2 linked regions of the Oreochromis niloticus genome follow. The protein of the gene in region 1 purifies or fractionates together with the protein of each later gene. This does not show direct contact. Links are inferred from orthologs where the notes say so. Each region holds a gene or a part of one and is shown on either strand. Other genes may lie near its edges. The genes, in order: bud23 and trmt112.

Region 1 (10,941 bases):
TGCATCTCTCATGGCTTTGTTTTGAAGCTTTAAAAACTCTAACCTGTGGTAGGGAGACTTTGTCCAATCACAGTTATTTTCAGGCCAGATTAAGTGTGCAGTATAGAGAATTTTAAGTCCATCTGGAAAGTGTTGGCATAGTAGATTAAGCAGAACCCTTCAAAGTACGTGCATATGCCTGTGCTCATCAGATGAAAGGCTCTTAGATTACAGAGGGCAGTTGAGGAGTTTTTTCCTTCCAGATTTCCGCCTGCTACACCCTTATTCTAATGAATAATCTAAAAGATAAATTTGGCAACTGCAGCTTCACATTTCCTGTCAGTCGTCTCAGCAATCTCTTGGCAAGGCAGTGAACAAGCATATTTCCTAACATGTCAGTCTTTTTTTTTTTTTTTCCCTTTTTCCTTAAAGCATAAAAAACAGACAGTGCAACAGCCAAGCAAGCTGCTGTTTGTAACAGGTGGCACATATGCAACCCTTTTCTTCAGTTGTAATAAACATATCAAGAGTTAACTGCCCCTTCAAGCGCGGCCATTTAGCCTCACAGGTGATTGCAGTCGAGGAGCGGACGGAGCGGTTCATGTGCCAATTTGAATCCTATTTTTGAGACATATTTATTCCTCAGCCGTTGTAAAATTACATTTTTCCTATTGAGTCTTACTTATGTACAATTGATTGATTCTTCTTGTTTGTTTGCAAGAAAGCCATCTCACATATCGCAGATTACTCATCGTCTCCCTTTTATTTTCTTAACACTCCTACAGCCGAGTTTTTCTGTTGTCTGACTGAGTTTTGAAGAGTCTGTGCAATTTTGTACAAAGTGATGTACTTGACATACTACTTTATATTTCTGTGAATAAAATGTGAACAAACTTTTGCACGCTTTCTCGAGTTATTCCCGCTGAGATGTCACCGGTCAGAAGTTCAGGCAGGTGACAGACTTGAGCGTTTCAACAAACATATTCTCATAAAGTACCGAAAGTAACACAGAGACAAAAAGAGACCTACTTATGAGTCTATCTGTGTTAGCAGAGGTATGAAAACTCATATGTACCGTGGGTTTGCTCTCTGTTTGTGTGTTTATATTTAACGTAACCACCCACCTTTATTCTATAATTAAGCTCTACGGCTGACAAAAAATGACCTGCCATACTTTCATGCTCCCCACGTAGACTGATCAGGGTGGCCAGTGATCTCAATTTAAAAAGCCACAGTTTACAAATGTTTGACTTATGCTAGACAACAAGTTAAAGACATGAGTCAATATTTGTAGTGCTTTTATGTCTGTAATATGTTACAGCTTGCATGCATTCATACTCACACAAAGAGCCTCGGGGAGCCCGTCAGGCCTCCAGCTGTAAAGTAGTGATCATTTCATTGTGCTGAGATGCCCTCTACAGGTCAGCTCTTGTAACATGGGGGGGGGGGCAAACACGGGTAAAATGAGAACGTCCTTGGCTAAAAATAAAGAAAAAAAATCTGCTGTGCACACAGTATTTAATTAGTAAGTATTTTCCTGCAAACACCAACTCAGTATCACATAATGCATTTTTTTAATTATTAATTTCTATTCATGAGGACATGATACAGTTATCTCACAATGAAAAAGAATCCTGGATTCAGGCCCAAACTAAAATGTAATCGCCTCTAAGCTGGGCCAGATCCTCAGCTCAGGTAATTACTAGGTAACTGCAGCGCTGTCGACTCACAGCGGGAACGCAAGAAGGGTTTGAGTTCTCAGGCCGGGGACTTTATCTCTGTACCTTTATAGCAGTGGTTCTTAACCAGTTTCATATGCGCATCCACTGAACCCCTCTTTAGTGAAAAATAAAATATGATTTTTTTCAAATTCAAGACATAGATATGTTTTTTACTGGTGCACAAAATGAGCCGTGCATGTCACGGCAGAGGCTCTGCCGAACCCCTGAGACCGACTCACCGAACCCCTAGAGTTCAATCGAACCCAGGTTAAGAACCACTGCTTTATAGGTTCTCTCCCTTTACACATGCATGTTAGAGTAACGTGTGATTCTAAATTGGTCATAGGTGTGAATGTGAATAGTGCTTGTCTCTTTGTGTTAGCCCTCCATGTTGTTGTCCTCTGCTTCCGGCAGCTGGAACAGACTCTGCCCTGATGCTGAATCAGTTAGGAACAAAAGGGATGCACTCCACAGTTTTATTGTATTTTTGGTACTGCAGCTTTCCTTACACATAATAATCGACTTTAAATTTTAATTTTACAATACATACACATATTTACACTGAAATAGAGAGAGGTGTCAGTATGTGGATAATGCTACTAATAACAGCTTATCTTATATGGAAACTTGTTTTTGCCGCTGAAAAGTCAAAATAAGTAACAAGATTGTAACTTTAAATTTTGACTTATGTATGGAAAAAAATAAATATTTTGTACCAAATCTTTTTTCCCCCCAGTGGGACAAAAAAAAGCTTCCATAATCTTCAAATTTTACTAAAGTGATTTTTCCACATTACAGAGCTGGAGTATAAGGAAGGCCAAAGGAATTGTGCATTATTCAGGAAGTAAAGGTATCTTCGTCCTTTTGAAGAAGTTTGATAGACAGAAATCAATCTGAACCACCAAAAGCTGTCTGGCTTCCCTCTGTTACTACAGAATAGTACAGGTGCTAGAAAGACTAACCCAAGGCTAAGCCGGGTACATGGTTTGCAACATGTTTACAACATGTTTCTACACCTATTTCATAGGTGCACAGAAAAGAAAAAGGGTCCAAAGAAGTCAAAGCTCCAGCAACCTTTGCAGTATAAAGAACAGTTTTGTGATTTTTACCAACCTGCTGCCTTCATCAGGGTAATCTTAATACCACAGGTGTTGTTGGAGCTTTGACCTCTTAAGACATAAAAACATGAAATGAGGTAATGAGGACATCACCCATACACTGAGTGTATCAGGGGTGTCAAATGCAGGGTAACACAAACTGTTACACTACAGGACAGCAGCGACATGTTTAACTTGTTCATAAAATGCACAAACATCACTGCACATGAGTGAAAATGGGTCAAAGTTATTGTTGCTTTTGTTAGTTACAACAGCTACATGTGAAGGTTTTGTGCTTTTGCAGGTCCACTGTGGTGTTTAATGGTTTCGCTCCAAACATCCCACTGTGGATCAAAATGGGCTGCAGGTGACTACAATGAGTTTGACACCCCTGACTTACATTCAAGTCCCCAACCTGTGGGGTGGTTTACAGTTTCCACTGCCTTCGATCCATCGCCCTTCTACACGTGGAGAAACTGAAACATTCAGTTGTCTTCTTACGGGACCGTACAGGACCCCTGCCTGTCTCAACCAGGTTTTGCTTTCTGTAATCATTCCTCATGTTTACACTGGTCATTAAGGACATGTTCACACCGTGTGTGGTTTGCATAGTGTTCACAATGAACCAATACAAACAAAAAAAGGGACATTCAGACAAATGCACAACCTGATTTTCCACTAAGTGTAGGCACAGGTTGTTGGATTTAAGCGATCTTCTTTTTAAATGAACTTTCAAAACCTTCAAAACCCAGTCTCTTTGTTTCCCTGAAAAGCGGTTCCACGCTGAGCTCAGGCAGATATAGAAATAGTGAGCTGCCAACAAAAGAGCCCGTCTTTCAAGAGGACATCCTCTTTGAAATGGGGACAGCTGAAGGCTCATTTTAGCTTCAGTTTTTTGAAAGGAAGGAGAAAACTGGGGCTTTTGTCCAACATCGCTTACAATAAAAACACATCATGCGTGGTTTAAAGGTCAATTCAATGTCCTGTGAACTATTAAAATGAAGCCTGGCCTCTTTTTTGTCATCACTTGGCATGAACAGGAGGAACGACTGTAAAAAGCAAGATCTGTTTTGTTTTTTTAAATCAAAGACTTGGAAAATGAACCCATGTGTTTAAACAATCAGTATACAGTACAGACATGGAGTCTAACAAGTTGCTGCTTGAAACAGCTTAAATAATCCGAGTGAGACGGTTTGTTTACTCCTGAAAACAAATGAACCTCTTCAGCTGTCAGCAACCGTGCAAACACTTCCCGTCTCCACCTCCTTCTCCTCACCCTGAGTGTCATAAAGTGCAGCCCAAGAAAGGAGCACCTCCGGCTGCCGCTTCTATTTCAAGGCCTTGACATTGATAATAATTAGCCCTGCCATGGCCAGCAGCATTACCACAGCCACCTCCATCATTTTCTTCTGCCTCCACCTGCTATGATGCTTCTTCAGCTCCTCCTCCATGCGCTGCTTCCTGGCTCTCAGGTCCTTCTCTCTCTGCAGCTGCTCCCCGTAGTGAGCCTGATAAAAGGCATCAAAATCAAATATGGGCCTCCCTCCAGGTTGGGAGAACTGTCTGGCTCTCTGCTGAGGCTTTTGTGGGGAGCCCGTGGATCTGCTGGAAGCCTCTTTACTGGAGGGTCTGCCTGCATTTTGGATGTCTGCCCGGCTCAGGATGCCACGGTCGTACTTCCTCCTCAGGCTGATGTTTCCCAGCACGGTGTAAGCCTCGCTGATATCAGAGAAGCGCTGGGTGGCCTCCTTGCTCCCGGGGTTCTTGTCAGGGTGGTAGATGAAGGATTGCTTGTAGTAAGCCGTCTTGATCTGAGACTGTGTGGCATTGAGAGACACTTTGAGGATGTCATAATAGGCAGTCCTGCTCCTGTGCAGCAGAGGAGTATCTTCTGAGCTCCAGCTGTAGCTTCTAGCTGCTGTGAAATTTGGCTTCAGGGTGTCAGGTCGCAGATTCAGACATCTCAGTCCGTGTCCACAGCCCAGCCTGTCTGATCCAGGATCTGCCAAGGTGAAGGTAAACGTGCAGAGAGCTTGGCGCTGTTGGGGGGAACTGAAGGTGTCAGAGTGGATGGAGACAGCTGCTGTCGTCCACAGAGTCCTCCTGCAAGGCAGCAGCTTCTTCTGGAGGAAAAGAGCAGCTTTATGAGCTCGCAGGCTCCCCATGTTTTCTAAAAATGCGATGAAACCGGAGGCAGCCGCACTCTCCAACACCTGACTCCCGCTTTCCTTCACTGTGGAAACTTTCTCTGACCTGAGAAGTTTTTCTCTGCTTTCTGAAGCTGACTGAACTGCACGTCCACACTGGACTGATTTCTCTGTAACCCGACCGGAAACGGAGGCATGGTTTGTTATATGACACCCGGGACTTTCTCCGGGGCACACGGCTCGACTCTGGCTGGTTTTGAGAGCGGAAAGCCGGTAAACTCCGTTCCCCAGCCTTTGACCGACCTCTGCCATTTTACCGAGAAGGGGCCGGAAAACAGCTGCAGCATCCGGCGCGTGAGAGAACGAGGACCCAATCAGAGTCAATGTTTACAGGAAGTAGTCAAACACAACCGACCAATCATTTAGCAGATCACCGGCGACATAAAGATCAACATAAACACTTTATTTATCGTGTAAAATTGAAGGAAATGAGGACAATTGATTTCTCTTTATCTTCTAAAATGTAAAATATAGTTGAAACATTTTAGAGAGATTTAATGTAAGTCCTCTTCTTTTACTGAAATGGCAATTCCTTATTCTTAAAACAGTATTTTTTATTTTCTTTTGTCATTTAAAAGACAGAGTAGCTACCTATTCAATACAGAGGCACAACCTTTGATAAGATTTTTCCGACTTTGTTACTGTGTGATTAATTAAACGTGAATTTTATAGAGGAAAGGGTTTCTATCTGTCTGGATGCTAATTAAAGCGGATATTTGTAGCTCTTTATGAGGAAGTGCTTCCTCAGATGAGATGATGACCACAAGAAGGGCAGCTTTAAAATATTGCAGCTCAAGAAATTTAAAAAAAAAGAGGATTTCATGAATGAATTAGTTTCTGCATAAAGTTCCTGTTTTTGTTGGAGTCAAGATGAATGAGAACCTGGATAAAGGTGCAAAAAATAGACAATAAAAAGATACATTAAAAAAAAAAACAGTAAGTTGGTGGCGATATGGAGGGTCAAAAATGACTATCATTAGTGATTATAATGATGTAATAAATATAGTATTAACAATATGGACATAAAAGCTGATTTGATTTTTTTCATTACAGTTAATCTACAAATATTATTCAGACATTTATCTCAAAATGTTGCCTTCCTAAACTCAATAGCAGTAATAAAAGACTGTCCTAGATTAAAGTCGAAAGATCCAAGATCCAGATTTTAAGTTGAAGTTGTAAGTATTTCAAATTTGCTACAAAAAATAATGCATGAGTATTAGGACCACATTCAGAATAAAGTATTAGAAAGTCGTTTTTTTCTAACAATTTATTATCAATTAATTAAAAGAAATTGAAATTCCAATTCAACTTGAATCTTTTTTATTAGCATTTTTAATTTTGAGAATTTAGTCAAAATTTAAGATAATAATAGTATGTTAGGATCAAAGTAAAAATCTATCTTGATAATAAAAAAGTATCTTTTCATATGTTTTTATTTATTTATTTATTTAGAAAGCTTAGGATGGTCCGCACGGCAGGTCAGAGGGGGGCAGTAAAGCGCTACATCGTTCCAAACGGTGCAAAAGAAGAAGAGGCGGGTCGTCGCTTGTGAATGACGTCACCATAATTCACGTGTGGGTCTTTTGCTATCAGGCAGCTTGTTTATAAAGTAAAATTACTCCCGTAACATAACGACTGACAAGGAGAAGCGAGTATGGCGTCCAGCTGTCGACGACCCGAACACTCAGCTCCTCCAGATGTGGTCAGTCGGACGGTTTATTGTGTTTTTTTTAGCTTTTGTTTTCTGCCGGTGCTTCTTCTACAGGAGCATTTTATATCTGTAAATGGCTCTTTAAAGGCCTCCAGCTGAAGCAGCTTTAAAGACATGGTTTAAATGGTTGTTTAGTGAACATGAGTCGGTTATTTATTTCAATCACAGGATGTGATTTGGTGAGCTTTGTGTTGGTCTGGTTTAAATGATACTTGAAGCTGAAGGCTTGTATAAGTAAACTGAAGTGTTGCTGATCTGTCAGTCTGATGTGCTCTAATTTCTCCAGTTCTACAACGAAGAGGAGGCCAAGAAGTACTCCCAAAAGTGAGTGTGGATGTAACGATACTATGTTTGTGACTACGTTACATGTTTATATGTAACACACTGCTCTTTTTTTTATCCAGTGTCTCTGTGTTTCTGTCCTTTGACATAATTAAACTGTGCGCTTAATTTAGTTTTTTGTTAGGGTTGCATTTCTAACATAGAGAATCTAGTTTTATTTCAACCCTTTTACTGTCCGCTGCACTTTATATATACATTCTGTATATGAATGAGACACTTCATTTAGTAAACCATTTTTATTCTGCCTTCATGGCTTCATGACTGCTGTTTATTTATGTTTAATTGGAAAGCGTTTGGTTTTAGGACTAAATGAGCAATCAGTTAATCTGTATCAAACCAGGTACAGTCGGTTGATAATGAGAACTCATTAGTTGCACCTCTGGGTGAATGCTCATTACTGCACAGTTGTTCAGCGTATAAATTAATTTGAAGACCTCAGGAAAGGATACATTTTTCTGACTCAGACTAAATTTAAAGATGCCCCATGTTTAGCCTCTTTCATACACTCCCACCTTGGTTAACTTACTTTGATGTGGGACACTGACCAAAGATTCAAACACCTAAAACTCCTTTGGGTCAAACATATAACAACTTAAAGAGGCTTTGTTTGTGGTTGTCATGTATGAACCACCCTTCCTCTTCCAAAAAAGGGGTATAGCTGTGTCATTACCCCCCTTTTCCCCTCCAATTCAGACGGATTTACTGTAAAACAGAATAGAGAACAGTTTTATGCCTTTCCGTCAGCAGCAAGTTGCCTGATTTTGTGTTCATAAGCGAGAAAGTTAAGTTTGCATATGCCAAAAAATGTTTTAATAATATAAAAGATCTGAAATCTTGTTGTGTTTTGTTGCTTCTTAGCTCTCGAATGATTGAGATCCAGACCCAGATGTCAGAGAGAGCTGTGGAGCTTTTGAGCCTGCCAGAGGGACAGCCCTGCTTCTTGTTGGATGTTGGGTGAGTGAGTGGCTGAATTTACTTATAGCAAGTACATAAAGTTAGAGATGTAACATGGTAGTACATATTTACTCTTAACAATAACATGAAAAGGCTCATTAATAAACTAAGCAGTGCTTTGACAGGTAGACTGCATATTGGCGATACTGTTGCATGAATGAATGTACGTTTAAAACTAGCTCCAATCAAACTTTATTGAATTCTTTATTAGTAATGGAAAAAAAGAAAAGAAAAAAGAAGTAAAGCATTTAAGGAAATCACTGAAAAATTGAGTTTTGAGAAACTGGCATTTTCCAGTACAGGAAGCATTTCCAAGAACTAGGAATGTTCTTGTGATTTGACTAAAAGGACGAGGGTCTAAATCAAGTTTCTGGGATATTATCTTTATCCTCCAAGAAGCCTCTTGCTTGGGGGATGCCGCAGTGCTTTTAGTCTAAGAACCTGGGAGGTGGGGGATGTAAACGTTTATGATTGGCTGTGGAGGGTTTTGTACCTCCCGGATTTATTTTAAGCACCGTTTTTTTTCGTGGTACTTAAAGGTGGAAATGTGGCAAAAGTCCGAATGTCTGCTGGTGTTGTAGAAAAGTCATTGTTTTGGGTTTTAGTTTGAACATAACTCATTGTAATGTGACACAGTAATCTGATGTATTTGTGATGAGAAACAATCTGGTCTGTGCCTCTCAGGTGTGGCTCCGGTCTCAGCGGAGATTACCTGTCAGAAGAGGGACACTACTGGGTCGGAGTCGACATCAGCACCGCGATGTTGGGTTGGTTTGACCCTCAAACTTTATATCAGTCATGATATACTAAATATATCATTAAAAATTTGTACATGTGCAGCTAAATACTGGCATATTCTAACACACCTGAAGGAAATGAACAGTCAGGCTACTGTTTTATTGATGTCCGTGTGTTAAAACATAATGTTTTTCCCAACATATAGTGCAAAGCTTGATTATATTCCAAAGATATTCCTAAAATCTGGTTACAGACTGGAACTTGATCAGTTAAAGGAAGACATTGTTAGCTTCAGGACATCCAATACATTCACACACTTATAGATAGTCATAAAACTAGAGTATAAAATGCATTCACCTACAGGGCTCGCAAAATTTCAAAATCCCTGGTAGCCCTTCGGGGAGGCACTCTTCAGTTTTTGGTAGCCCAAAATAAATTTAAGTAGCCCGAAAAAAAAAAATGAGAACAATTTTTTGATGGATGTTTTGTTTCCTTTACAGTAATATACATTAAAGTATAATATTGTAAAGGAAACAAAACATCCATCAAAAAATTGTTAAAACACAAATTACAACAATTGTATAAAAATTACAGTCATCAACTCAAATATTTGGAACTGTGTAGAACATGAATCAGTCTGTGTCAGATCCTGAATCTGAAATTTCTGCTTAAGTATAAATACATAAATGCTTTATAAATAAATACAGGCCATTTAAGTCCCGGGTAAGAGGTAAGTGGAACCAAGATCTAGGACATTTGCTTTTTGAAGTTTGCAAATACGGCTACATTTTGCCAATGGTATACTCTTTAGAAACACTGTTCTAAACAGCTTTTTCAGGACTTCTTGTTGTGCTTGGTTTATTTTTAGTATGTTTTTGCAATTGGTGTTTGTTCTGGGAAAGATACTGCAGACTGAGCAATAATGCATTTCTCATGGATTCTGATGGGGTCTTTCTTAAAATTACTGGTCCCAGTAACAAAGGCGCTTGTCGACTCAGATATTGAGGGAAACTCACGACACACCTGGCAGAACATTATGGTATTTACATTGTCATATTCCAGCCACAGAAATTCTTTTGTCCATGAAACCAAAAAAGCTGAGCTTTCTTTTTGCCTCATAGTCTGATTTGTCATAACTTTTCCTTTTTTTTGGTCGGCTTTTCTTTGGCTGCTCCTTCTTCACCCTGACCTTTATTATTTGGCTCTGCAGAACTAAAATTCCTGTGTAAATCCATCTGTTTTTACACACGTACTTACATAACAGTCAGCGATTCTCTGCACAATCAACCTCTATCACATGTTTAAGTTTGCTGTGGGAGATTTCACTTGTCACGTTTGAATAGTAGCTAATCAGTGATAAGACGATGTCAAAGGAATTGGTGCGCAATTAATCTGTCACTCACCAATCAGTACTGCTGCTCTCTATACACAGTTCGCGCGATCGCAAAGTGAAAGTAAAAGCCAAAAAAGAAGAAGCGAAAATTCAAACTCGATTTCACATATTGACAGTGGCTCATCGATGCCAATGACATAATTACTCAGCTACATTTGCGAAAGAAAATGCAAAAGCATTGACACATATTTTTCCTTCCTATGATAGCCCGACGGGCAGGGCTGAGTTAGATTTTGGTAGCCCGACTGGAAAAATCGCTAGCCCCGGGACGTCGGGCTAGCGATTTTGCGAGCCCTGACCTAGTATCTTTATTAGCTACACTTGTGCTAAGGTGCTGGAAACATCCCTCAGAGTTTGGTCCATATTGACATGATCGTGTCACACAGTTGCCGCAGATTTGTTATCTGTACGTCCATGATGTGTCAATAGATGGTACAGTGTGGTTGTAAATGAATGGACAGGGTCAGGAACAATACTCAGACAGTGGTTTTTAAACAATGGTCAGTTAGTACTAAGAGGCTCAAAGTGTGCAAAATCATATATCCCCACCACAATACACCACCAGCAGTCTAAACTGTAAATACAAGGCAGGATGGATCCACGCTTTAATGTCATTTAGGCCAAATTCTGACCGTACCATCCAAATGCTGCAGCAGAAATTGAGACTCATCATCACCAGGCAATGTTTCTCAAATCCAGTTTTGGTGAGCTTATGTAAATTTTAGCCTCAGTTTTCTGTTCTTAGCAGACAGGTATGGCCCTGGTGTGGTGGTCTGCTGGTGTAGCCCATCTGCTA
Region 2 (11,814 bases), on another chromosome or scaffold:
TGTGTTTATTACAGCCCAGGGATGGGGAGCCCACGGTAACGGTGCTGTGCGAGGGGCCCATTAGAGTGAAGGATAGCCATTTTTCCCGGCCACGTGGCAGCTCAGACCTGCTCCGAGCCCCGAGTCGCTTCCCGGTGCCTCAGAGTAGGGTAGTTTTACGGGAGATCTCTGTGGTCTGGCACCTTTACGGGGGAAAGGATTTTGGAGGCAGGCCTATGTCTCTGCATGCTCAGAACGCGAACAGGTAACAATGCACATGAATTCTTTCATGCACAGATACCCATGGTTATTATATACTTAATTATATAAATATTAAAGTACTGAAACATTAGCACACTGATTGGTCAGTCCAGTCCATAAGTTTTTTGAAACTGTTGTGTACATAGTTTGTCAGATTTATAGTTTTTTTGTTCTCCTGTGTGTGTGGGTGCACCTCTCTGCAGAGGTCGTTCAGTCCCCGCTGGCGTCCGTGGGTCACCTTCTCGCTCCGCCCCCTCCTCTCGACCGCAGAACTCTTGGCGCTCAGCTGGAGGCATCGGCCGTCAGCACAGCCTGCTGATGGAGATACAGCTCACCAAGGTACACTAATGCATTGATATCACTGGTTTGAAAATGTAAGTTTTTTTTAAATACATATTGACATACAGCCATACATCACTATACCTCTGTCTCAACATGTGTCTCCTGTTTTGTCCTCCAGGTGTCGTTCCAGCATGAGTCCTACCCAGTGGCTGTAGCGGGGCAGGATGGGGAGGGGTCAGCAGCACCTGCGGTCGGGGTCGGTCCCGGTGGTGAGCAGCCGCTCTCCAGGCAGGTGTTCATCGTCCAGGAGCTGGAAGTTCGAGACCGACTGGCCTCCTCACAAATCAACAAATTCCTCTACCTCTACACTAGTGAGAGCATGCCCCGCCGAGCCCACTCCAACATGGTGAGACAGAGAGACGGAGGGTCTTTGATTAGAACTGAATTTTCTGTCGTGCACAGCATCTGACTTGGAGTCAAACCATCCTGATGTTGTAAATCTTTACTTGCTTTGTGCACTTTCTATTTAGCTTAGCTTTAATGCAATTAGGGACATGCTGAACAGACTTTGAATGATAGTACTCATGTGGTGTGTCTCATTTTTGTAGTTGACTGTGAAGGCCCTGCAGGTGTGTCCTGAGTCTGGCCTCGGGGGGCCAGAGTGCTGTCTCCGGGTCAGCCTGCTGCCACTGAGACTCAACATCGACCAGGTAACTTTTGGGACTGAATACTGAGAGCTGCTCTTGAACCTCATCCATGAGGTGGTGGCACAAAAAAACAAGTCTTACTGCAGAAATTATTTTGAGTATAGATGTATTAAATCTGTTTGATCGTCATAAATGAGCCGCTTCACACTCCACAGATGTTTCTTTGTAGCTCAAAATTCATTCACTACCATTCATTCTGCTGTTTGGACTGCTCCCATAAAGTATTCACATCTTTTCTTATTTTTTTTTCCTGTTTCTTGTGTAGGACGCACTGTTTTTCCTGAAAGACTTTTTTAGTAATCTAGCTTCCTCTGTTAATCCTTACCTGCCTGTGGATCCTGCAGCTGAAGGTGAGCTCTGTCAGGTCTTCTTTTATCATTCAATTCTTTGATGTCAGATCTGCCGAGCTGATTTTTATGGAGTTGTAGTCTTTTTCTTGTTCATCGTTGTGGCACAATGAATTTTAATTAGCTACAGAGTACATTTAAATGATGACTGAGGTGAATTTTTAGCATGCTAGGTTTGTGACCTGTTGTAATTTCTTTGTTTTCAGTGAAGGCAGATTTCTCCCAGAAGGGGTCTGAGGATCTAGAGATGGCTGCTGCTGCTGCTAGTCTTGGACCTGACCTCACAGCTTCTGTGGAAACTACCTACAGTGAGCAGAGTTCCTCTTCTGCTGGCTCCAGCACCTCCTCTGACCAGCCAATCTACTTCCGGTATGTAGTGACTGAAAAGAGAGAGAGAAATCCAGAGAAAGAGAATAAAAAAGAGCAGAGAATACTGTAAAGATGATGTAAGTTACTAGCTAGGAAATTCCTATGTTACAGAAGCCAAAGAAGAAAATTCACCTCTAACAAATTAGGTTAAATAAAGTAGAGTAACTCAAAGACTAAAAGTTTAAATGATTGATAAAGTTTCCCGCGTCTTGTCTCCATCCTTTTCAGGGAGTTTCGTTTCACATCTGAAGTGCCTATCTGGCTCGACTATCATGGCAAGCATGTCGTCATTGAACAAGTGAGTGGTCATTCAGAGATCCTGTCTACTGATTCAAACAAAAAGCTAAAGGGTTTAAATGATGTGTCTTCACACTTGTTGTTCCTCAGGGGACGTTTGCAGGGATTCTGATCGGTCTGGCCCAATTAAACTGCTCCGAGCTGAAACTGAAGAGGCTCTGCTGCAGACACGGGTAAAAACAAAACAAACCAACAAGCAAACATTTCAGCTATTTTTCAGTAATTTGCCCTAAATTTGCTGTTAGTAGTTTGACTTTCTGAGACTTTCTGCATGTTCCAGTCTCCTCGGGGTCGACAAAGTGATTCAGTACGCCGTCACAGAGTGGCTGACGGACATCAGGAAGAATCAGCTGCCCGGCATCCTGGGAGGTGTCGGACCCATGCACTCAGTCGTCCAGCTGTGTAAGTTGCTTTTGTCTTCTGCAACATTTTTACAGCTGCTTTCCATTGTTGATTGCATTGTGATTCATACTTCCTCTCTCCTTCATCCTGTCCAGTCCACGGAGTGAGGGATTTGTTCTGGCTGCCTATAGAGCAGTACAGGAAGGATGGACGCATCATTCGAGGTCTCCAGAGGGGGGCAGCGTCCTTTGGTACCTCAACAGCATCCGCTGCTCTGGAGCTTAGCAACAGGCTGGTGCAGGCTATCCAGGTACTCTGAGTGCAGATCATGACTCTTAGTTACACAGAAGTTAAAAGCCTGAAGGTAAAGAGCACACATTCCTAATATGCCGATAACTCTTCTGGTGTCTGTGTACCTCTGTGACAGGCTACAGCAGAGACCGTGTACGACATCTTGTCTCCAACGCCTCCTCTGAATCGCTACGCCATCACCGAAGGCCGGGCCACCTCTAGTCGACCTCGAAGAGTCGCCCAGCCTGCAGACCTTAGAGAAGGAGTGGCCAAGGCCTACGACACTGTCAGAGAGGTGCGTGCCCGAATAGACGCTCTTAAAATGTAGAAAGAGTTCGTGGGTTAGAGGCCAGGGTTAACCAGGGCTGAGGATGAAAAGAAAATTTCTGCAGCTACATCTATGTTGGTAGAAGAGGGTAACTATATGTTAAAAGGCCCTGTAGAAACTTCAGCATGCATGAATGCAAAGGGGGCTGAAACCCTAAATTTTTAGACTAAACTGTCTGCTCTCTTTGCTCTCCAGGGAGTGATTGACACGGCCCAACAGTTGTGCGATGTAGCATCCCGCGGCCACGAACAGAAAGGTCTCCCCGGAGCCGTGGGCGGCGTCCTGCGGCAGATCCCGCCCACTGTAGTCCGACCTTTAATAGTGGCCTCTGAAGCCACCTCCAATCTCCTGGGTGGCATGAGAAACCAGATCAAACCGGACGCCCGAAAAGAAGATTTCCTCAAGTGGCGCACAGAGGACGCCCAAGAATGAGGACAGCTTTTTGTGTCTGTGTGTGAGGGAAAGTGTGTGTGCGTATGTGTATACGAGAGTATGAGATTATGATTTGGGAAAGTCTATTCTGTGGGAATCCAGGGGTTGTATGAGTAGCTGCATGTGTGTTGTCTCTAAAAAGAGTCAGCGTGTGTTCCAATGCAAAAAAGAGAAAAGGAAAGAAGAAGAAATTTTAAAAAAAAAGAAGAAAAAAAAAAAGGACTAACTACTGCTGCAGTTCCTGACGCGCAGTGTTTAATGTTGCTCCCACATACATAGACGTGCCAGACTTCATTTTTCTGTTCGGGATTCGCTCGTTTTCCTGCTCTCTGTAACACACTAGTCTTTTTCTTCTTAACGTTAGTGCAAACATATCGCGGTCACTTTCTGCTGGCTTCGTTTTCAGTCTGACCCGGGCAGAGGGGGCAGGTAAGATTATCACGCTCTGTTTCCTCACTCATTTGTGTGCTCTGAACTGTGATGCTTGAAGCTGTTTGTAATTTGAAGCAGTGATTTTAAGCACGAGTTGCACGGAGTTGCACGGAGAAGGGATGTTTTTGACTGAGAGCAGCTTCACTTTAATGAGCCTTCTGCAGATGAGTGGGGGGTACCTGTCTTATGAGGGGGTTGCCATGTGTTAGTTTTGCTCTCTTTGTGCTCATAATGGAAACTGAAAATATTTTTGATCAAGTGTCCTTTGCTTAACACCCTTGCAGATGGTACAAAGCTGTGTGATTGGTTTAGCTGTGACTCCCACTATGCACCCGCTACCCTCAGTGCTGTTATTCGTGCCATAAACCTTACAGTGTCCTTTTTAACTAGTTTGTGTTGCCTTCCTCGGACCTGTACCTCATCCCCTAATCAAAGCTCAGCACATACAGTGGCATACCTGACTGAACAGAAACAACGGGTCACATGAAGTCTCTAAATTTTGTAGCATATTGGATTCTGCTCGAGCTTCACGAAGATGATCGTTTTTCCAAGCTGACGTCACTGCAGCTCTCCTGTTAAATGTCAGATCCTGGGATCTCAATTAGCCCACTATGTCCTCAGAAGTCCTCTGCCCACATCTTTAGTTGCCTTTCTGCATTTTTTTTTTTTTTAATTGTCTCTTCTTCTTAGTGTTTTTTTAATATTATTATTATTTTGTTAAAGCATAAGTATTGTCATATTTGTTTTCAGAGTAAGAGTAAAGAGGTATGTGAATCTGGTGAAAATGGAGGATGGAAAAATTAGGGTTAAAAATGTTTTACATTTTCTCTTTTTTTGTTTGTTTGTTTTTAATCAGTGTGAGGGACGCATGTCCCTGTCTCTGTGTGTGTGTGTGTGTGTGTGTGTGTGTCTGTCTGTGAATGTGTGAGGATGAGAAAATGTGTTTGTGTGCACACATGATGCACGTCTGTGAAGGTGACAGGTTGATGCTTGTTACACCTCTTGCGTGTAATTACTATTTACTATATCATAAACTGTATGAATGACCTGTATAATACAAAGATGAGGATTATACAAAATTAATAGAAAAATTAAAAAAAATTGAGTATAAAAACTGAACACCTGTCTGCCTTTATTTATTTATTTATTTATTGTATTTTTATTATTATGAATCTTATTATTGTTATTATTTATTTATTGTATCTATTGCTAATTTAAGCAGTGTTGTTGCTGTACAGTTTGTATACTATGGCATTTCAGGAACTTACTTGTAATTACTTACATCCAAAATGAGGGCTGGTATCTTCACTTGTTTAAAAAAGGTAAGACTCAAACTAACTCAATCTTGAGCTGCTGCAGTAATTAAACCTTTAAGTATGTACTGGTGCATCAATAATTATATTGCAAATCCTGAGTATTGATAATATTTTTATAAAATATACTGAGAATAGTGCATTTGCATATTTTTTTTTTTTAACTTTTTTAACTTTAATCTCTTTCATTACTTTTTTCTCTGATAATCTTTGTGCATGTTGCGTGATGAAAGGGTTATTACAAAAAAAATCACACTTTTTAATTTTTTACACTAAATACATAATGGGCGATTCTATAGTTGGAGGAAAATTTAGACTTCAAAAATTATAAAAAGAACAAAAGGCAGAGAGAAACTCTGTAATTTTCTATTATGTGTTTAAGAAAAACAAACGTTTATAGAAATAAAGGAAGGAAACTTTTAAAATTCATGTGTCTTTAGTTACAGTGACACGGTGAAGACTGGTAAAATACAAAATATGTCAAAGAGGACTAACCTTTGGTCTACCTATGGTGTTCATGTCACTTTCTCTTGTTCATCTCTCTGGTTTGTCTCCTCCGGTTCCAGGCTAAATAGGTGTGACCGAAATCTACAAAATAAAGGATATATAAATTTCGCTGCCAAAAAACTGATTTTTCAGAAACTTGCAGTGCAAAATTACTGTTATGTAAAATATATTAAAAATATATCAAAATACGTTAATATTATTTAACATATTTAAACTGGTTGGATCATTATAACAAACGTGTCAAAAAAACAAAAAACAAAGAAAAGATGGAATTATAACTTACTTTCTAATTTGACCTGCAGTTTGGTACTGCAGAAGTAGGAACAAGAGGGAAAAAAACAAAAAAGAGGGGTGTTCAAAAGCTACTTTATATATTACATATTTTGGAAACATTTTTTGTATAATTTATACGACAAATATTTGTTTTAGTGTTTTTGTGGTGCAGAAAATGTGCCTTTATTTAAAAAATACCCCTAATAATAAATTAAAAGCCACTAGGAATCAACGGAAGCTTCGGGAATCTTTTACGCGACGTACCACCGTCACTTCCGGTGCACATGTAAACGCCGCAGCGTGGTTTACGTGTAGCTGTCAGAGTGTTCGCAGTTTTCTGGCTTTTTAGCGCCTGTTTGTAAACATGAAGCTCCTCACGCACAACATGTTGACGTCTCACGTGAAAGGGGTCACCAAGGGATACCCACTGCTCATCAAGGTAACCGCGAAACACCTGGACAGCAGCTAATTCTAAAACACCAGAGCTCACCGAGCTTATCGCGACACACGTTTCTGCTAACGCCGAGTTCTAGTGTTTAGGTTTGATTTATGCAGCAGCAGTTCACAGTTCGCTTTATACTGTAAGGCTGAGACGTCCAGGATGAGAGAGAAACCCAAACAATCAGATGTTTCCCTCTGAGCTGCATTTGGCAACAGTGGGAAGGAAGAACTCCCTTTTAGTAGGAAGAGACCTTCGGGAGATCCAGGCTCAGGGAAGGGCAGCCGTCTGTTGTTTCTCTGCGGTTTTTACGGCTAATATCTTTGCTATTTTGGTAAACAGGTTCTAAACTACATGATTTATGAAGGGGCCATATATAAAATGAAGAAAATACGTTTATAGTGTGGTTATATTATATTTGTTGCATTTTCTACTGACCTCTTGGGCAGCTCTCTCATTAAAAAAAAGACATTTTTAATGTCAGGGAGCGCTTTTACCTCGATAAGAATATGGAAAAGTAACTTGATAGGCTTGGTAAGGCTTGATATTGTTATAGGTCAAAAAGTAATTAAGAACAGTTTAAATACCAACACGAATCCAGGAACAGTTGGCAGGGTCAGGAGTAAGAGGAGAGTAATAAAGGGAGAGTACAGAGAGACAAGGACAAAACCCACACTATCAGAGAGAGAAAACAAAACTTAATGACATCAATTAGTGGGATAAAATGTGAGGAGAGTGGAAATAATCCGAGCCTATTGCAGCATAACCTGATCCAGCTCCAGCTATAATCTTCATGATGATGAGAGGTTTTAAGCCCTAATCGTAAAGGTAGTCAGTATACAGGGAGTGCAGAATTATTAGGCAAGTTGTATTTTTGAGGAATAATTTTATTATTGAACAACAACCATGTTCTCAATGAACCCAAAAAACTCATTAATATCAAAGCTGAATGTTTTTGGAAGTAGTTTTTAGTTTTAGCTATTTTAGGGGGATATCTGTGTGTGCAGGTGACTATTACTGTGCATAATTATTAGGCAACTTAAAAAACAAATATACCCATTTCAATTATTTATTTTTGCCAGTGAAACCAATATAACATCTCCACATTCACAAATATACATTTCTGACATTCAAAAACAAAACAAAAACAAATCAGCGACCAATATAGCCACCTTTCTTTGCAAGGACACTCAAAAGCCTGCCATCCATGGATTCTGTCAGTGTTTCGATCTGTTCACCATCAACATTGCGTGCAGCAGCAACCACAGCCTCCCAGACACTGTTCAGAGAGGTGTACTGTTTTCCCTCCTTGTAAATCTCACATTTGATGATGGACCACAGGTTCTCAATGGGGTTCAGATCAGGTGAACAAGGAGGCCATGTCATTAGTTTTTCTTCTTTTATACCCTTTCTTGCCAGCCACGCTGTGGAGTACTTGGACGCGTGTGATGGAGCATTGTCCTGCATGAAAATCATGTTTTTCTTGAAGGATGCAGACTTCTTCCTGTACCACTGCTTGAAGAAGGTGTCTTCCAGAAACTGGCAGTAGGACTGGGAGTTGAGCTTGACTCCATCCTCAACCCGAAAAGGCCCCACAAGCTCATCTTTGATGATACCAGCCCAAACCAGTACTCCACCTCCACCTTGCTGGCGTCTGAGTCGGACTGGAGCTCTCTGCCCTTTACCAATCCAGCCACGGGCCCATCCATCTGGCCCATCAAGACTCACTCTCATTTCATCAGTCCATAAAACCTTAGAAAAATCAGTCTTGAGCTATTTCTTGGCCCAGTCTTGACGTTTCAGCTTGTGTGTCTTGTTCAGTGGTGGTCGTCTTTCAGCCTTTCTTACCTTGGCCATGTCTCTGAGTATTGCACACCTTGTGCTTTTGGGCACTCCAGTGATGTTGCAGCTCTGAAATATGGCCAAACTGGTGGCAAGTGGCATCTTGGCAGCTGCACGCTTGACTTTTCTCAGTTCATGGGCAGTTATTTTGCGCCTTGGTTTTTCCACACGCTTCTTGCGACCCTGTTGACTATTTTGAATGAAACGCTTGATTGTTCGATGATCACGCTTCAGAAGCTTTGCAATTTTAAGACTGCTGCATCCCTCTGCAAGATATCTCACTATTTTTGACTTTTCTGAGCCTGTCAAGTCCTTCTTTTGACCCATTTTGCCAAAGGAAAGGAAGTTGCCTAATAATTATGCACACCTGATATAGGGTGTTGATGTCATTAGACCACACCCCTTCTCATTACAGAGATGCACATCACCTAATATGCTTAATTGGTAGTAGGGTTTCGAGCCTATACAGCTTGGAGTAAGACAACATGCATGAAGAGGATGATGTGGACAAAATACTCATTTGCCTAATAATTCTGCACTCCCTGTAGTGCTGAAGGCTCTGCCATTTTTTCTCCTGCAAACTCCAGGAACCAGAAGTCAGCCTGCGCTCTGAGAGCCAAGTGCTCGCATGGGATGAAATGGCACTATAAGATCACTACTGGGTATTCCACAGTCAGATGTATTGGCAAGAAATTAAGTCTGTTATTTAAGTTTTAATAGTTGATACTGCAGCTTTATCACCACACATCCAGACTCAAGGAGTTTCTTTTGCAGAGCCTTCATACTGATCTGAGATCAGTTACACTTACATACATACACAAATTTAGTTTGTTCACACGGGTTTACACTTAATTGGTGTTAAGCCTTTGTAAACCTACACAGGTTTTATGTTTTTATCTATATATATAAAACGAAATGTGCTGTACAAATAAAATTGCCATTACACGCAGTAACAGTTGCTGAATCACTGAAATGCACTTTACACTGAGCGTTTTATCATGTTGTCTAATTTGTGCTTGTGTGAATCGTGTGTGACTGTATATACTTTTTTATGCACCAGATGGCAGGGCAGCGCTCCTAATGTCACTGTAACCTCTGCGTCAGTGACAATAAAGCTTAATTCTAATTTTATTCTTGTGAAATCCGGTGTGAGATTTTAAGAAGTAGTCACGATTAATTAAAAATATTTTTTTCCTGTTACACACACGACAGAGTGGTTGATAGTTACTGCTGCTGTTTACCCCATAAACATCTTTTATTTTTATTTATTTATTTTCATATACAGTTAAATGTAAAATAGCACAGCAGAAATTTGGATATTATCTCAGGGGAATGTTGAAGATGGTTACATTGTACATCAGCTGTGTAACATTTCACTGAAAACAAGTATATAATTGCGTCAAACATTAAAATGTTTCTCATCTATAATTATTGATGGGTTGCATTTAAACCCTTGCCTATTGCCAGCAGTAACATGCTTGCAATAGGCAAATATGCACATCTGGTCTTGTGTGACATCACGCATGCGTGTTTTGAATGAGTGGTAATACTGAACTTTTTAAACTCGTGCGTCTCTGTTGCGCAGGCCACTGAGGTGAAGGTGAATGAGGTGGAGTTTAACCCTCAGTTTGTCAGCCGGATGATCCCCAAACTGGAGTGGGGCGCTCTGGTCCACGCAGCGGAGGAGGTGAGTCAGACATCACCGACTTTCATTGTTGATGCTAAACTGGCTGTATTGGGGTGTGAGTTTGAATGGATGAATGTTTAATGGACTGGCTACCTGTTCAGGTTGTGTCCTGCCCCTCACTGTTTGTTGGGATGGGCTCCAGTGAACCTGAGCTGGATGAGTGGTTAAGAAAATGATTCAAAGTGGCATAAAAAGAAAAAGAGAACTAATATTCGGTGAGCACCCTTTGCCTTGAAAGTAACATCAGTGCTCGGCACGCTTGCTTCTTAAGATGAATAATAAGGGAGGTTGTTTGAGTGTGTGTGGATTTCTTCTCCCTTTTCATGTGACCACAGGCTGAATAAGGTTATTTTTTATGACTCTGGCTTTTATGTATGAGGTTGTTGTCTCGCTACGCCTTCCTGGTGATACTGCATCAATCTAATTGATTCATAAAGCGTCACAGGACTTGTGTTTATAAAAAAATGCTCCACAGTAAACTAGATCACTGGGGTGCATGTTGTAACGTAAACACCCAATGCAATCCTTTCTCTCTCTGCAGCTGGGTCATCGGCAGGACCTGCCAGGCGAGCTGGTGCAGGACTTCGAGAAAAACGAAGACTTCCTGAAGAAAGTGCACCGAGTGCTGTTAGAGGTAAATGGCTCCAAGATGCCAATTTTACCCCCCCTGTCTCTTCAAGGTCACTGTGGAAGTGACCTCAAAGGCAAAAACACCAAAACATCAGTGTCTTTAGTGGGCACGACTAGAAGAAATCTGTGAAATTTAGATTTGCCAGCTGTTTGTGGGTAATCAACACTGATACTACTCTGTCTACAAAATGCGACTGCTGCGTTAAAATCTTTCAAGCTGGCTTTATATGTGTAAAAATGCTTGACACTAACATCGGGCTGATACTTCATCTAACTTTAAGCCCCTTAGGCCACAGAGCCTGTCATTCACTCTTCTTCTTGACTGGCTGACAAAACTACAGCACAACCAGGAGCAGCCCACTCACACTGCTACCTGGTGACAGTAAAACATCTACAACATGTGTACATACAGTTCACAAACACAGTACCATAAACACCTGGGACATAAATCATTTGGATAATATTCTTGAAGATCAAGTTATTTGTACTTTTACACTTTCAGTGTATTTTCATTTCAACTTTAGTCCTAATTTTAATTTCAGGTGGTGTTAAAAGGGTTTTAAAATGCCTTAAACCTGCTTATACTTGTGTACACCCAGTAAAATCACCCTGTAAAATCATGTAAAATCATCACCTCAGTCCAGCACCATGGAGTGTGTTTGAGAGCGTGATAATGTGTGTGTATTTTGCACTATGGTGCCACCTAGTGGTGACTTCTTGTCCGTTGCGTTGTAGGTGGAGGTGATAGAGGGCTGTCTGCAGTGCCCTGAATCAGGACGGGAGTTCCCGATCTCCAAAGGAATCCCCAACATGCTGCTGAATGAAGACGAGGTGTAGATGGCACCGCCGCGGTTCCCATTCACCTCCTCACCCCTAAACTGTGTTTCTGACTCTGGATTGCGTGCATTCAGAGACAGGCTGGACTCTGGCCAGAGTTGGAAAACGGGCCACTGGTTTGATTGTAGTTGTGGCATCTGAACAGCCGATGCTGCCGGTGGAGAAGATTTGACGATTAACAGATGGAAACGTTCCCTGAGAGTAACCCCCAGTGGTTTT

What was found.
Region 2: the proteins of bud23 (region 1) and trmt112 purify together in Homo sapiens (affinity purification with mass spectrometry; 5 studies listed by BioGRID and IntAct, counting the BioPlex papers as one, with this or other methods). This does not show direct contact. The link is inferred for Oreochromis niloticus from reciprocal best matches to the Homo sapiens genes BUD23 and TRMT112.

What each region holds. Positions count from the first base shown.
Region 1 is NC_031979.2:23,122,791-23,133,731, reverse strand, and holds the start of bud23 (18S rRNA (guanine-N(7))-methyltransferase), read left to right. Parts: upstream 1-6,521; 5' UTR 6,522-6,661; coding exon 6,662-6,709; intron 6,710-7,004; coding exon 7,005-7,042; intron 7,043-7,918; coding exon 7,919-8,014; intron 8,015-8,698; coding exon 8,699-8,781; intron 8,782-10,941. Other genes in the region: dnajc30b (dnaJ (Hsp40) homolog, subfamily C, member 30b), read right to left, coding at 4,126-5,256.
Region 2 is NC_031966.2:20,624,652-20,636,465, reverse strand, and holds the start of trmt112 (multifunctional methyltransferase subunit TRM112-like protein), read left to right. Parts: upstream 1-6,398; 5' UTR 6,399-6,524; coding exon 6,525-6,599; intron 6,600-10,026; coding exon 10,027-10,128; intron 10,129-10,669; coding exon 10,670-10,762; intron 10,763-11,493; coding exon 11,494-11,595; 3' UTR 11,596-11,814. Other genes in the region: atg2a (autophagy-related protein 2 homolog A), read left to right, coding at 15-244, 444-579, 701-928, 1,131-1,232, 1,495-1,579, 1,783-1,945, 2,174-2,243, 2,333-2,415 and 4 more. UniProt on the Homo sapiens protein: Acts as an activator of both rRNA/tRNA and protein methyltransferases. Together with methyltransferase BUD23, methylates the N(7) position of a guanine in 18S rRNA.